2 linked regions of the Mus musculus genome follow. The protein of the gene in region 1 binds, or shares a complex with, the protein of each later gene. Links are inferred from orthologs where the notes say so. Each region holds a gene or a part of one and is shown on either strand. Other genes may lie near its edges. The genes, in order: Flt3 and Flt3l.

What was found.
Region 2: the proteins of Flt3 (region 1) and Flt3l are in contact, whole or in part, in a crystal structure (PDB 7QDP), measured with the Homo sapiens proteins. The link is inferred for Mus musculus from reciprocal best matches to the Homo sapiens genes FLT3 and FLT3LG. Residues at the interface, in NP_004110.2 of Homo sapiens: Asp180, His279, Gly280, Phe281, Gly282, Met300, Ser301, Thr302, Tyr303, Asn306, Arg307, Met309, Arg311, Ser333; in NP_001191431.1 of Homo sapiens: His34, Ser35, Pro36, Ile37, Ser38, Ser39, Asp40, Lys44, Lys87, Glu99, Asn102, Thr103, Glu104, His106, Phe107.

The regions. Positions count from the first base shown.
Region 1 is NC_000071.6:147,372,907-147,376,727, forward strand, and holds part of Flt3 (receptor-type tyrosine-protein kinase FLT3 precursor), read right to left. Parts: intron 2,853-3,821; coding exon 2,737-2,852; intron 1-2,736. UniProt on the Homo sapiens protein: Tyrosine-protein kinase that acts as a cell-surface receptor for the cytokine FLT3LG and regulates differentiation, proliferation and survival of hematopoietic progenitor cells and of dendritic cells.
Region 2 is NC_000073.6:45,130,576-45,133,640, reverse strand, and holds the end of Flt3l (fms-related tyrosine kinase 3 ligand precursor), read left to right. Parts: exon of another isoform or gene 1-218; intron 219-1,228; coding exon 1,229-1,413; coding exon of another isoform or gene 1,414-1,503; coding exon 1,504-1,527; coding exon of another isoform or gene 1,528-1,551; 3' UTR 1,552-1,572; exon of another isoform or gene 1,573-2,046; intron 2,047-2,074; exon of another isoform or gene 2,075-2,209; 3' UTR 2,210-2,452; downstream 2,453-3,065. UniProt on the Homo sapiens protein: Stimulates the proliferation of early hematopoietic cells by activating FLT3. Synergizes well with a number of other colony stimulating factors and interleukins. Required for the development of B cells, and dendritic cells (DCs).

The sequences.
Region 1 (3,821 bases):
TGCAGCCTTGCCTGGCCTGGAATTTGCTCTGTAGACCAGGCTGATGTTAAACTCACAGAGACCAGCCTGCCTCTACCTCCCAAGCGATGCTGGGATTAAAGGCATGCATCAGCATGCCATGTGTGATGCTGGTTTCACACAGTTGTTAGTTTCTTAGGGTTCACAAGTCCATAGATAAATCAGTAAGGTGAAATCAGGAGATGGGGTATAAAAGGAGAGGAAAAGAGCAAGAACACAGAGGTCAGCTCTTACAAAAATTTAAAATTTACTTTCTTCTCATCATTTCATCTACAACTAGGTGCAAGTTAATAAGATGGAGAAAGGCAGAAACATTAGGATGCAGTTAAAACTAGAGCAGAATTTAGCGGCTGAGCTTAGCCTGCCATTTAGACTAGAACTTACACACACACATGCACATACACACACACACACACACACACACACACTCATACATACATATGCACATACATTAAATACACACACAAAAATAATGACGGTTTTATTCAATTACTGAAAAGGAGATATTTTGCTTTAGCTTTGCTTCTTGTTTATTTATAGATGCTCTTTATATATTGTTACTATCTATCTGTAGTTAATAGTAGAGATAGTTTTGTAGACTACAAGTATCTTTTCTCATTCTGCGGTAGTTTTCATCTTTTATCCCTGTAATTTCTAAACTTGGTTCCCATTCTACACTTTGGTAGGGACATCAGAGTTTGTCGAACCTGTCAGTACCCTTAAGTGTCATGTTCCCAGAACTGTTCTGAATGGGGACAAGACATTTGCAGACCACAATAGCAATGTTGTGGTGTTCAAAGGTTGGACAGCCTCCTTACTTCAAGGGCTTGCCCCTCTCTTAAATAGAGCACTGAAGCCAGGGGTGGTGATGTGTGTCTGTAAGCCCCAGTGCAGGAAGTGGGAAGATCAGGAGTTCAAAGCCAGTCTGGGCTGCACACTGAGACCTTATCTTAAGGAAAGAAAAACCTTGCTGTTGGCTTTAAGCATCTTCAATTAGGAGCTGAGGCCACTGGGAGCTAATTACTATGCTAATTACTATTTGTGTGAGTTAGCTCAGGGGTCCTGGGGCAAACTTTCCCTGTATCACTCCATCTGATCCACCCGCATCGCAGCTCCCCACACCACACCACCCCCACTCCCTAAGCTGCCTTAACTGAAGGAATCCCAAGTGTTCTGCCATCATGGTTGCTCTGTATTTTTTCATCTGAAAAATAATGTAAAATTAAAAGCAGCATAGAGGCAGGAGTGGTGGCACACACTTTTGTGCCATACATGGGTGGCAGAGACAGACATACATGTCTGTGTATTCAAGGGCAACCTGGACTACAGAGGGCCAGCCAGGTCTATATAGTAAAACTCTGTCTCAGAAAAAAAAAAATCTGTTAATCTTCTAGAACACAACTGCTTGTACAGTGTTGCAAAAGAGAGAGAAAGAAGGAGCCCGTGGAGCCTGTATCTTCACTGGACAAAGAGCCCACACTTAAATGTCCCACCAGAGGCCTGAGGAGGTAGGAATGGGGCAGGGGTGGAGGCCCAGGCAAAGAGCAGCACAAGACAGCTCCTGAGTTGTGTACTTCTGGGTTTGTGTTCCTGTTTCAGTCACTTCTCTGAGAAAATGGGTGAGACCACTCTGTTCTTGACTTTGCCATGCAGGCTGACTGTGTGATCCAGGATGATGACCCTCGGGGAACCTAGAGTGTCCCCCAGTACTAGGAGCTATGACGATAGGACCACAAATGCCACCAAGGCTCCAAGTGGGGTGACAAGCAAGTGCAGAAATGGCTCTCGTGGGCCCCCAGTTTTGCCAGTCACAAACACATCAGGTGTCTGTGTTCATATCAACACACAGGCCAACCTCTGTGAGCACCTGAGGTGGGGCATGCGGAGGTCCATAGGGAAGGGCCTCCGTGGTCACTCCTGACCATGGTCACTCCTGACAGGCCCCTCTGTGGCTGCACACTGCCTCAGCTTCGTGAATCCGAGTCATCCACAGGGAAAAGGGCAGCCTAGCAATGTGCAGCAGGCAGCTTAGTGGGTGCCAACCCTGAGCCTGTGGCACTGCCTGAGCCCCCAAAGACACAAGGCTCTACATGCAGCCACCTCTGCAGTCACAGGAAGGAAAACAGGGTGCACGGTACATGTAGCACCATGTCTGCGCCAGTTAAGGCACCGGTCTGACAGTTTACATCTGCAAAAACCAATGTCATCCTCAGCAGCCACCCTGGCTGTATGCGATTATCTATTTTCAGATTTTAATTCATTCACATGAGATAAAAAATTTTTTAAAAATGTCCCCTGCTTACACTAGCCAGTGTTCTTAACTGCCGAGCCACCGCCCCAGCTCGGAGGTATGGGCTTTCATTCCCCTTCAAAAGCTCATAGTATTAGAACCAGAAATAAAACCCAGGACATTTAGTCAGCAAGGTGCCAAGTGCTTGCAATCAAAAGATTTAGGAGGATGAGGCAGGAGGATTGTGAGTTCAAAGCTACATACTGAGTTTGAGGTTAGCCTGGGAAAAATTTGGAGACACAGGATTTTTTAAAAAATTATTATTATTATTCCCAAGTCAAAATACTCTTTGCAGTTCTTCCAGGTCTGTGTTAAAAAGTCCTGAGTAGCTACCTTTGGTGACCCCAGAGATGAGTGGAAGCACACTAGGTCCCGAAGCACGCACTGCCTCGGGACGCAGGAAGTGCCCAGGAGGCGGCCACACTTACCTCTTACATTCACTGTGAACAGTACTGTGTAGTTGGCGGCTTCGCTCTGAATATGGAGTAGGTATTCTCCTGCCTGGGTCTCTGTCACGTTCAAGATGGCCATGGAAACGATTCCTCTGCGGAATGAGAAAGAGGACTGGATTCTCTGGAAAACACTCAGGACTAACAGCCTCAGCTTCTCCATGAGTCAGAGGGTGAGCGCTGTCTTCGAAGCTATGGCTAAGGGCTGCTCTGTGCAGAACCCGGCTCTGGTCCAGCACCCAGGCTCATCTTGGGCACAATCAGCTCGGCTGTGACTTGTACCTAACACCCACCCTCAGAAGTGAGATTTGGCTCAGTAGTAGAAGAGGGCTATAGCAGTGGGAAAAGCCGCAATTTTACAAGGTTATGGGGTACTATTAGTTGTTATAAACATTTTGTACAGATGTATCTCATACCCAATAACAAAATACTTATTTTGTCAGGGCATATCAAGGTTACAAATTACATATGTACATCAACCTTTAAAGTTAAATTATTTTAAATATTTATATTTATTTATGTATATAAATATTCATTTATTCTTCTTGTATGTGTATGAGTGTTTTGCCTGCACGAATCTATGTGCATCACTTGCACTCAGTGTCCATGGAGGCCATCAGATCTCCTGGGACTGAAGTCACAGACAGTTACAAGTGGCAGTGTGGGTGCTGGGAAACCCAACCTGAATCCACTGGAAGAGCAGCTCATGTGCTTAACCATTGAGCCATCTCTCCGGTGCCTTGGGTTTTATTTCTCGGAGCAGCATTGGATCTGCCCACTTCACCACACACCCTTGGTGTTATCACTATCGTGTGCAGGTCTGGTTTGTGCTAACAGAAGAAGAGAGATGGGTTACCCTAACCCTCATCACCACCAGCTGGCGTCTACAGATGCCATTAATGTCTCTTTTTGGGCAGCACCTCCTACACATGACAGATACACAGCGTCATGTGCCCATATCCTAATCCTACGTGCGTTCATTATTTCAGCAGAGAGAAGTCAAAACACACACACGGATGGATTCTCAGTCAGGCCCAGTGGTGTATGCCTGTAAACAACTTCAG
Region 2 (3,065 bases), on another chromosome or scaffold:
ACCAGATCCCCTGAAACTGGAGTCTCTGCTCCGTGTGAACCACCACGTGGGTGCTGGGACCCAGGTCCAATGCAAGAGCACCCAGGGTTCTTACCTGCTGAGCCACCACTTCAACCCTTTTTCTTTTCTTTTGAGATAGGGTCTCATTATGCAGGCTAGGCTGACCCTGAACTCAAAGCAATCCTCCTGCCTCAGTGTCCTGAGTGCTGGGATTACAGGTATGAAGCCAGAACATCTGGCTTCCTTTCCTTTCCTTTTTTTCATGTTTTTGTCATCATATATTATGTATAGCAACGTCTCATGTCATCCATGTCTGCATTTCCATCACACCATGACTTTCTCCTGTGCGTCCTATCTCACTGATCCCCTTTCTCTCTCCAATGGTCCCTCTCCTTTCTTTCCTTCATATATATATGTATATATATGCACATATATATACATATACATATATATATGTATATATATATATATGTATATATATATATATATTTTTTTTTTTAAAGCCAGTTAGGCAGGTAGCCTGTAAGAGGGCACTTTACCCACGGCTAAACTTCTGAAGAAAATGTTTCTTCCTGTTTAGCAACCTTCTAATTGCTATAGATGCCCAGGAAAGGACAGGCCATTCCTTTTTATGGCCCCAGGTCACCTATCTTTGAGAAGGAGACAGAATTTCCAGTATGTTTATCTAGGGCAGTCCTGTGTACAGGGAACGTACACGGAGTGAGCATGGTTTCTGGGTAACAATACCAATAGCCATGCTCACTGTTTTCTCTTTTTTCCCCTCCCCTCTGTTTTGACGGTGTTCTTTTGAGACAGTCTGTCTCTATAGTCCTGGCTGCCTGTAGCTTGCTATGCTGACCAGGCTGAGATCCCTCAGCTTCTGCTCCTGACTTCTGGGGTTGAAGGTGTAGACCAGGATGCCCAGCCATGCTCACACTTTTTATCCCCAGTGTTGGTTTATTTTTCAGTGTTTCTTGATACATTCCTGTCAGTCCTACAACTTACTATGTAGACCAGGCTAGCCTCAAATTCACAGAGCTCTGTCTGCCTCTGCTTCCTGAGTGTTGAATTGTTAAAGGCGTGGTCTGCCAGGCCTACCTTATGCCCCCAGGTCTAGGTTTTGTTGTTAATAGGCTCCTCATGAACCACCCATCACCCGTATTCTCCAGGACGTTCCACGTTTGCGCTGATGAGCCCCCTCAGTTACCTGCTTCTTCTCTCTCCCCAGACTCCTCCACCCTGCTGCCCCCAAGGAGTCCCATAGCCCTAGAAGCCACGGAGCTCCCAGAGCCTCGGCCCAGGCAGCTGTTGCTCCTGCTGCTGCTGCTGCTGCCTCTCACACTGGTGCTGCTGGCAGCCGCCTGGGGCCTTCGCTGGCAAAGGGCAAGAAGGAGGGGGGAGCTCCACCCTGGGGTGAGCCTAGAGCCTAGAGTCCAGGGCGGCTGGATGGAGTGGGTGGCGAGGGATGAGGGGGGCAGGTGGCTGACCTTGTGGGGGCCTCAGGTGCCCCTCCCCTCCCATCCCTAGGATGCGAGCCTTGTGCATCGTTGACTCAGCCAGGGTCTTATCTCGGTGAGTCTTCCACTTATACTGGAGCCTGGAACAGCCAGGCTTGGGGGTCAGTCCAGGATTTGGGGAGCTGTCTTATTGTCTCTCACAGGAGGGGCGGGGATTCAGGGGAGTGGTGTGTATGTCAGGGGCAGCACGGTCTTGACTAAGTGTCCAGTGTGACAAGCTCAGGGGTTCGGCAGCTCCGACAATCGTAAGCTGTGGAGAGCCGGGAAGGCTTGTGAGAGAGCCTGCTGTGAGAATGAGCAAGGGGGCAGAAGGCGGGTGCCCTGCCAGCACCCGTATTTTAGAATATGATGTGTCTTACACTTGTAATACCTCTCGTGTGGAGGTTACACCTGTAATCTCAGCCCTTGGGAGCCCAGAGCAGGATTGCTGAATGGTCTGGCCACTCTCCACTACAAGGTGAGTTCAAGGCCATTGTGAAATACACAGCCAACTCGTCTCCTGTCTCAAATAAACAAACAAAAACTCTCAGTTAAGTGACACTTATTTTTTTTTTCAGATGAGGTCTCAATATGTTGCCCAAACTGACTTTGAAAACCTCGATGCACCTTCCTGCCCCACAAACTTCCAAACAGCTGGGCTTACGGGCATGCTATATACAACAAGGCTTTCTTTTCTTCTTTCTTGGTGCTAGAGTTGGGAACCAAAACAAGGAACAAGCTAGGCAAGTGCTGTGCTGAGTTACATCCCCAGCCCAGAGGACACACTGTCTGGGTATGGCGATGGACACTGTAATTCCAGTGCTTCTGGATTGGACATGCTGAAACTGGAGGATACTGACTTTAAGAAAAACAGAAAGGAAGAAGGGGGGTGCGTTGTAGCCCTGTGTGGTTGCTTTTGTCACCTCCACCCCTTAAAATAAAAGCAACTGCTGGGTATGGTGCTGCGTGCCTGGAATCTCAGTATTCAGGAGGCTGAGGCAGAGGGATCAAAACTTCAAGGCCAGCCTGGGCAACTTCAGGAAATGTGTGTCAAAATAACAATGAAAAGCAGAAATGCTGGAACTGGAGCTTAGTGGCAGGATCCCTGCACATGTAAGACTATGGCTCCTAATCGGGGCGTGGTGGCGCACGCCTTTAATCCCAGCACTTGGGAGGCAGAGGCAGGCAGATTTCTGAGTTCAAGGCCAGCCTGGTCTACAGAGTGAGTTCCAGGACAGCCAGGGCTACACAGAGAAACCCTGTCTTGAAAAAACAAAAAGCAAATGAACAACAACAAAAACCAATTAGATTGTTTACATTTTTTAAATTTAAGTTTTTAAATTTTGTGGTTTCCCATTTCTGGGCTTGTTTCTGAAACACACAGCCATAGTGATACATGTCTGTAAAACCAACTCTATTTATTAGTTTTTGAGATAGGGTCTATGTAGCTCCGATGGCCTGGAATGTGGGTGCAATCCTCCGGTCTCTACCTCTGGAGTGCTGGGGTCACAGGTGTGTTCTACCACACCTGAAAGTAATTCATCTTTTTAAAGAAATTACACCAGACCC